2 linked regions of the Cricetulus griseus genome follow. The protein of the gene in region 2 binds, or shares a complex with, the protein of the main gene of each other region. Links are inferred from orthologs where the notes say so. Each region holds a gene or a part of one and is shown on either strand. Other genes may lie near its edges.

Evidence for each region. Proteins that work in one complex are often made in the same cells at the same time.
Region 1: Strip2 (region 2) and Pdcd10 share a complex: the UniProt entries of both Homo sapiens proteins name them as parts of the core of STRIPAK complex. The link is inferred for Cricetulus griseus from reciprocal best matches to the Homo sapiens genes STRIP2 and PDCD10.

The regions. Positions count from the first base shown.
Region 1 is NW_023276806.1:78,251,322-78,256,796, reverse strand, and holds the start of Pdcd10 (programmed cell death protein 10), read right to left. Parts: upstream 3,215-5,475; 5' UTR 3,063-3,214; intron 1-3,062. UniProt on the Homo sapiens protein: Promotes cell proliferation. Modulates apoptotic pathways. Increases mitogen-activated protein kinase activity and STK26 activity. Important for cell migration, and for normal structure and assembly of the Golgi complex.
Region 2 is NW_023276806.1:197,864,044-197,867,684, reverse strand, and holds part of Strip2 (striatin-interacting protein 2), read left to right. Parts: intron 1-957; coding exon 958-1,062; intron 1,063-2,582; coding exon 2,583-2,787; intron 2,788-3,641. UniProt on the Homo sapiens protein: Plays a role in the regulation of cell morphology and cytoskeletal organization. Required in the control of cell shape. Calmodulin-binding scaffolding protein which is the center of the striatin-interacting phosphatase and kinase (STRIPAK) complexes.

The DNA.
Region 1 (5,475 bases), about 120 Mb from region 2:
CTGTAATGGTCTGTCTTTTTCTTACATAAAACAATCACAGTTTTGAGCAGAATACCTATTGTCAAAAGACCTGGATGTGTTATAGATCGTATGACATTGGGCAAGTCATTAAACCAACCCAAGCCTTTTCTACTCTCTGGAGCCACTCAATTATTCTTCAGCTGAGGCTATAAAGATAACTAATACACCGCTCTTGTTCTTATAGACTACCCTTTAAGAGAGAGATGACTATATAAGGAAGAATTCCAAAGGCCTACGAAGAATAATATCTGAAAGTTGATGCAAAGCTACTTTAGAGAACAAATGTGGGCACCAAGAGCTGAACACTACAGGTAAAACAAACCACTGTGAATTCTAGCTAGCGACTGAAGGATTTTAAATACAGCAATAACATCATTCATTTCAGCACTACAATTGTAGTGATCAAACACTACAGGTAAAATGGACCTCAGAGACACAGATACATTTAGAGTAGACAAGAACTAATTTTTTCCTTTTGATTAAAAAATTCTCTCCAGGAGGCTATCTTAAATGCTCTAACCCCTATAATGAGATTGATGGCTACCTTACATGCCATTATAGAGCCTTCATCCAGTAGCTGATGGAAGCAGAAGCAGACACCACAGCTAAACACTGAGCCGAATTCCTGGAATCCAAGTTGCAGAGAGGGAAGAGGGATGAGCAAAGGGGTCAAGACCAGGCTGGAGAAACCCACAGAAACAGCTAACCTGAACAAGGGGGAGCTCATGGAGCCCAGACTGATAGCTGAGAAACCAGCATAGAATGGAACCAGTCCCCCTGAATAGTTAGGAGGCCTGGGCAGTCTATGGGACCTCTGGTAATGGAACAGCATTTATCCCTAATGGACCATTAGGTCCCAATAGGCCATTGGGAGCCCATTCCCCATAGAGGGATACTCTCTCAGCCTAGACACACAGGGGAGGGCCTAGGCTCTGCCCAAAATGATGTGACAGACTTTCATGATCCCCATGGAAGGATTCACCCTTTCTATGGAGCAGAAAAGGGATGGGATGGGGGTCGGTGGGGGGCATGGGAGAATGGAAGGGAGAGGGAACTGGGATTGATATATAAAATAAGATTGTTTCTAATTTAAATTTTAAAAAGTTAAAAAAGAAAGTCTTTCCAGAACCACAAAGTTATGTTAAAACTCATTTCATACCTTTCCCACAAACAGCAAATGTCCACAGTCATCTAGAAAATATATTGGCATCCTTGCTTTACAAGTTTAGACTTATATATGGCCCACTCAAACTAAGGCACCATTTTAATCTACTTCAAAATCAACCCCACATAATTTTCCTTTTGTTTAGTTGCTTCTTCCTTATTGTGTATTATATGTATGCAGCGTGTTACATTCCTGATTTCTGTCTCATTCTATAATACCATACCTCTCCATTTATTTTAAAGGTCAGAGTAAAACAAGTCCATATTAAGTTGAACCATAGAGGAACAAAGATTCTTCTGACCCCAGAAAAGTTTTGCATTAAAAAAATCAAATAAATTGTTAGTATTAATCATGGCAAGCAAAACATTCAAAATATTGTGTATTTATTTACAGTATATATGTATTTAATATTTTAATTTACATAATATGATGCCTACTAACTATAAATATGCATGTTTATGAGTATAATCTTATAAAGGAACCTTGTCTTCAATAAAAAAGTACAATTCTATCAACAACCTATCTAGTAATATCTATCAGCTATAATTAGTCAACTTGTTTGAAACAAGTGCATTGCTTTTTACTCAATATACAGGCATCCTTTTTTTTCCCGTTCTTTAACATTAAGAATGAATTAAAAGTCACAGATGATGCCAAGAAAAAGAAAATGCACAAGTCCTGGTTTTTACTACTTACACATGGAGTGAAGAAAATGAGAACCAAAAACCTCAGACAGAAAAAAAAGCCATTTCAGGTAACGACCATGTTATAACTTCTCCATGATTCTGCATTTAATTATCACTCAATGAAAACATTAAAATGTGTAAAATAAGTTTTGTCAAAGTTTCATCCGTACTTTAATCTTAGTTTCAGAAATCAGGAAAGGACTATTCTCTTAATGGCAACGCTGAGCTTATTGCTAAATATTACCTATCTTTTTGGCTCATGGAAGTTGTGTTATCATTTAGTATGTTTCGGAAAAAGGGTAAATATCTAAGCTAAAAAAAAAAAAAACAAAAAACAAAAAAAAAAAACAACCCTTCCCTTTTTAACAAACCGTTAAAGAAGATTGCTTTGGGAAGGATTTCACTCCACCCCAAGCAACCAACTCTTCACCTCCCAAACGTTTCTGAGACGCACACTCAACTTTGCAACTTCTTTTATCCGCTTCGAGCACCTACCAAGCAACTCCCCACTTTTCTATCTAAGCAGACAACTCTGGTCAGAACCTGGACTTTCAGCGGACTGGATTCAGAAGATCTGTGTGACCTTGGACACGTCATTTACTCCTTTAGTTTTCTCAGAAGCATCCCAAAGCGAAAGCGCTTTTGAGTACAGTTCAGGAGTAAAGCCATCTGACGTATGAGAGTTAAAAGGGACAAACACTTCTAGTTAAGAGTTACCTCCTTAGAGAGGCCACATCAGGAAACTGGAACTGAGTCGGAACTGTCAACACCGGCTCTCCTCTTTCCTCAAAGGGCATAACCCCAGTCACTCCGGGAGCCGACTCCCGGGCTCCCACGCTCTCTCCAGGCCTTACACAGCTCCAGCCTCACCTGCCGGGGACCCCACCCCAGCACATCCGCCCCCTCTGTCGGCGGGGACTCGGGAGGCCGACCTCACCCTTCCCCTCCGCTCGCACCCACAGCGGACTTCCTGGAGGTGCCGGGCCGCGCCGGGTAAGCGGCATTTCCAAACCGGCTTTACGCACCTCGCGTAGAGACCTCGCTGACGCCCAGAGGGCCCCGCTCCCCGCCCGTCCGCCCTCCGGCCAGAGCCCAGCCCCAGCGTCTCCGCCTCGGCCCCCGCCTGACCCCAAGCCGCGCTCGCTGCCCGGCGGAGCCGTGAGGACCCGAACCGAGAAAGCTCGCCTTACCAGCAACTGAGGCACGGACTTCACTTCCCACCTTTGGAGCCCTCTTCAACTCCCGGATCAATTCACTCCGGCGACGCCGGAAGGACCCGAGAGGAACCAGGCGTTGTCCGGAATCCTGCCCAGCCGGAGTCGCGCAAGGCCCGATGGGGATTCGTAGTTCCGCCCGCCAGTTCCGTCAGCACTTCCTGCAGACCTAGGACCACATTTCCCAGAAGGACCCGCAAGAACGCCTAGGGCGATAGGTGGGGACACTTGTAGCGAATAAGAAAAGAGTTCCCTGCCTTCACGGGAGGAAGGGAGACGGAGAGGGAGAGCGCCCAGAAACGGAGGAAGGGCGGGGCCGGCTCTCACCTGCACCAATCAGAAGGCAAGGCCGGCCCTCAGACGCCGTGCCCACTGATGGGCGGGGCTCGCAGATGAGTGGAAGGAAAGGGGCGGGGGACCAGAGGTGGCAGGGGACGGGCAGCTGGGTTGGGTGCCTGGGTAGGCTGCGAGGAAGCCTCTGGGGACTGTGGGGGGTGGAGGAGGGAGGGTGAGGCGTGGGCTTCGCTTGGGCTGAAGCGTCAGTACTCCCTAGGACAGCCCACTCTGGTGTACACTGGGCCGGCTCACTGAGGGGGCTAAACCTGACCTGAGAAGCTCCAGGTGCGACTCAGGGTGGGTGGGTGCGGTGGGGGGAAGGGGGGGGTGGACAGAGAACCAGGAGCCGAGACACTTGCTTCAGTAAGGCTTCGCGCCGCCTGCAGCTCGGGTTGCGCAAACGGCAGAGGGAGGAGCCGGAGCCCGAGGTCCGGCCAACTAGAGGAGGGGAAGGCGGAGCTTGAGTCTCAGTAGAAGCCTAGGCTCTGCTTGCTCTGTAGTTTCCCCGGAGAGAGGCAGGAGCAGGATCCTGAGCGATCACAGCCCGCCGAGCATCCTCTCCAGCATCCCGAGCCCGGGAGTGCAGGTGTGCGGGAGGTAAGCGTGGGTGCCCCTTGCCGGCGCCAGCACACCGCCGGGGGAAGAACGGCATCTGACAATAGGAACGCCAGGGCAGAGCTGAAAGAGTGTTATGTTGGCTTAAGATAGCATTGCAACCCCTTTCAGGGGAACGATGTGCAATTTTGGACTATAGTTGGGAGAAAAAGGCAAAAGGTAATTCCTTCTGATGTATAAGGGCGCGGTTAGTGATTTTGTTTTGAGTTGCACCATTAAAACTGGTCTGGGAGATCCCAAGATTGAAGAAAGCCCTGTTAATTGAGAACCAGGTGGACAGTGTCTAGATAGGTGCGTAGCTGATAAAAAAGCAAAAATGGCATTGATATAGAATCACTTCGGAACTATTTCGCTAGGAAAACAACTTTGTTCTCTTCAGTGCCTGCCGCTTGTGTTGGTTTATCAGATTGTTCTGCTTCGGACCTGTTATCCAGGGCGATTATGTATTGCAGGTTCCTGGGATTGCAAAAAATCTGGATTAAACAAGCAAATAATAAGATAGGATGGGTTTGGGCTGAACCTATCATAAGTATAACTTTTACCGCAATAATGAGAGAATAAATTTGAATAGTGGTTAATTTAGCGTTCCTTCCCGGCTGGCGCTGGAATATTGAAACAAAGACCTGGATTCAGCCTACAACAGAAACATATGGTGTACTTCATCGCTGCTCCTTATTCTCTCATTTGTGTCCGGTAAGGTTTGTTCGTCTTTTTAAAACAGGAGTACAAGGGAAGCTGTGTGGAAGAGCTTTCCTCTGTTGAAGAGAGTAGCTGTAAAATGATAACCTTTAGTATGTTGCAATGGGTTCCGATTATATATACATATATATATATATATGTATATGCATGTATATATAGTATAAAATGATAGTTCATTCTCATCATGTGTATACTTTTAAATGTAAGTTTAATAAATATGGGTGGAATTATGTTGTAATACTTGGTGAAGATAGTAGTCACCCCTACCTCTGTGTAACTAGGACAGATTACAGCCTTTTCGTTTTGAAAAAGTAGTAACAGTATATCAGCTTAGTTCATTTTGTTGTTGTTACATAGTACCCCAGATTATACTCCTATTAATCATAATAGCATATTGCAGCATATCTCCTCTGGAATGCCTTTATTTTGACAGTTGACTATCCCATGGGATGTCAGAATACTTTTATGTTTTTAAAAGAATGGTCAATAAGATCCAGTAACTACCTTTTATTTTTTTCTGTTGTCTTGCTATTCTGATTTACTTTAGGATTTTGTATTTTGTTTTTGTAATGCATACAAAATGCCTTTTTAAAATGAAGTGGCCCAAAGATATTCTTTCCATGGCTTCAGGTTCAGTCCTAGTGATTTCTGGTACTGATGAGAAATCTACATCCCTAAGTTAATTAAATCCTTCCCTCCTACATTCTCACATGCCAAAGAACTGTGTACCAGACAAATC
Region 2 (3,641 bases):
TTAGCTGGCTTTCTCCTTTTATGCAATCCAGGACCCAAATGCAGACGATGGTGTCACCCTCTATTAGAGAGTGGATCTCCCCATGCCAGTTAAACTAATCAAGATGTCTGAGTTAGGGTTTTTATTGTAGTGAAGAGACACCATGACACCAAGAGACAGCAACTTTTATAAGGTAAACATTTAATTGGGGTGGCTCACTTACAGTTTCAGAGGTTTAGCCCATTATCATCATGGCAGGGAGCATGGCAGTGTGCAAGCAGGCAGACATAGTGCTGGAGAAATAGCTGAGAGTTCTGCATCTTTAAGGCAATAGAAATTCGATTGAGACACTGGGCTGTATCCTGAGCATAGGAAATCTCAAAATCTGCCTTCACAGTGACACACTTCCTCTCCAACAAAGACACACCTCCTAATAGTGCTACTCCCTATGACATTATGGGGGCCAATTGCATTCCAACCACCGTACAAGGTAATTCCATGGGCCAGGGTAATGGTCTAACCAGTAAAAGCTCTTGCCACGAACAAATCTGACAACCTGAATTCATCCCTGGATGCCATGGTGGAGGAGAACCAGCTCTACCTAATACAGCTTAAACCTACCAGAATAAGATCAAATGCCTAGCAGTTACAAACTTGCTCTTGTGAGTACAAAGTGTCCATTTCAGTTGTTTTATTTTTGCTTTGTTTTGTTTTGTTTGTCTGAAATCCAGGCACACAGCTCTGCACATGTTATGCAAGTACCCTCTTACTGAGCTACACAGTCAGCCCAGCTATAGGTTCTCAGGTAAAGGCTATTATGCCCTCAGAAATGAGATTTGGTGTATAAAGGGCAGGAAGTTAAGAGGCAGCATTTCATACTGGAATATTCACCTAAACTAACGAACCGGGACATGCAGTCTCCCAGGAGAATGAAAGCCTTGTCGGTGCTGAGATACTGATGGATGTCCCTTATTTCAGGAAGCTGGAGACAATAGCCAGTTCTGCTGGAGGAACCTCTTTTCCTGCATCAACCTCCTGAGGCTGCTCAATAAACTGACCAAATGGAAGCACTCCCGGACCATGGTAAGCAGGACTTTAGATCACAGAGGTATCCGTTCAACTGAATTGTTAAATCACTAGTATTTGTAGATTGCCTGCCTGGAAAAGATAGATAGCTGGTGAATGCTACCTAAGTTTCCGCACTTCCTAACTCTGGGCACTTATTCCAAGATGATTGCTCACTGGTCCATTTCTTTTCAGGAAACTAAATATAGACAACACTCTTAAGGCAGCTCTAACAAGGGAAGCCAGCCACATTTGGATTATAGTTACACATCCAAAAATGATGCAAGTCTAACATTCATTGCGATGCTGCTTATGAGAGTCTGGAAACAACTTAATATTCTTTAACAAGGGCCAACTGCATAAATTAATTGTGGTGTTTCCTTAAAGTAGTATATGATAAACGATTTTAAAGAACGATGTCTCTGCTGGTATGGAGTAATTTTAAGATATATTATTAAATTTAAAGAGGCCGTTAATTCCAGCACTCAGGAAGAAGAAGCGAGGAGGATTTCTGTAGTTTCAAGGCAAGCCTGATCTAGATAAAGAGATCCTGTGGGATATGTGAGTTAGAGAGATGGCTCGGGAGTGAGTTAATGTGCTGTTCTTGCAAAGGACCCAAGTTTGGTTTCTAGCACCTATGTCAAACAGTTCACATCTGTTGGCAACTCCAGCTCCAGAGAGAGCCAATGTCTCTTGTCCCCAAGGATACATGTACTCAAATACACATACACACACAATTTTAAAAAATTAATCATGATATAGAACAGTATACTTGGCTATTACTTGTGTTAAAATACAAAATAATACGTATGTGACATAGCTATAGTCAAAATTATCTCCAGGGCTAGTGAGATGCTCAGCTGGGAAAAGTGCTTGGTATGCATGCCTGGTGACCTGAGTTTGATTCTTGGAACCCACAGTGGAAGGAGAGAACTGAAAATTGTCCACTGGCCTCCATATGAGTTATTCATTTTATGTGTGTTTTTCCTTCATGTATGTATGTGTACCACTTTGTGCCTGGTGCCCACAGAGGTCAGACAGAGGAGGGCATTGGATCCCCTGGAACTGGAGTTACAGATGGTTGTGAACTACAATGAGGGTGCTGGAGATTGAACCCAGGTCCTCTAGAAGAGCAACAAGTATTCTTAAGTGCTATGCCAAACTTTAAATGAATTAGTTCTTTGTTTTTTTGTATATCACAAGACTGGCTTTGAACTCATGATCAGCCTCTGAATATTTTGATTACAAGTGTGTGCCACCATGTCTGGCTTAATTCGTGTGTGTGTGTGTGTGTGTGTGTGTGTGTGTGTGTGTGTGTGTGTGTGTGTTTTAGACAGTGTTTCACTACCCTAGGCTAGTCTCAAACTCCTTATATAGTTCTTTTGTATTCTCTAAGACTAACTCTTAAGCAGTTTGAACCTTAGATCCTCAGGGTCTCATAGGATAACCAGAGTTGTCTATATTGTCTGAGTTGGAAATTCTAAAAACTTCACATGACGATGGACTTTTTGTCACTCTGTCTCTGTATCACTGGGCAGATGCTGGTGGTGTTTAAATCAGCTCCAATCTTAAAGCGAGCCCTCAAAGTCAAACAGGCCATGCTACAACTTTATGTTTTGAAGCTACTAAAGATACAGACCAAGTACCTTGGGCGCCAATGGAGGAAAAGCAACATGAAGACTATGTCAGCCATTTACCAGAAGGTGCGCCACCGCATGAATGATGACTGGGCTTATGGCAATGGTGAGTATTTGTAAAATTTGGGCTCACTAATTTGGCTAGGCTGGCTGGCCACTGAGCTCAGAGATTTGCCTGTCTCTGCTCCTGCAGCACTGTGGTTATATAAATGCACACTGCAACCCCTGGCTTTTACATAGGTGCTAGTGATCCAAACTCAGGTCCTCATGCCATCTCCCCAGCCCCAAAATATGATACTAATTTTATGATATGGTAAAATGTTTGCATACTTACAGTAGTTTGTTTGTTTGAGACAAGGTCTTACTATGTAGCCTTGGCTGGCCTGGAACTCACTATGTAGACCAGGCTGGCCTCAAATTCAAGTGTTCTCTGCCTGCTTCTGCCTCCCAAATGCTGGGAGTAAAGACATATGCCACAATATGCCCAGCTGAGTTGGTCTAGAATTGACTCCTCATGTTCTGCTCCAATCTCCCCTTCCTTGAGAGGTGATTCTACTCAAATGGGAAATTTTCATCCCCTAGAGAAAGCTCAATAAAAGGTTTTAATTGCTCTTTTGAATAACATGATTACTAGAAAGAAACAAAGCCGGGTGGTGGTGATATACACCTTTAGTCCCAGCACTCAGGAGGCAGAGGCAGACAGATCTCTGATGTTTGAGGCCAGTCTGGTCTACAGAGTGAGTTCCAGGACAGACTCCAAAGCTACAGAGAAACTCTTGTCTCAAAAAAAAAAAAAAAAAAAAAAAAAACGAATAAAAGCCAGGCGGTGGTGGCGCGCACACCTTTAATCCCAGCACTCAGGAGGCAGAGGCAGAGGCAGGTGGATCTCTGTGAGTTCGAGACTAGCCAGATCTACAAGAGCTAGTTCCAGGTCAGCCTCCAAAGCCACAGAGAAACCCT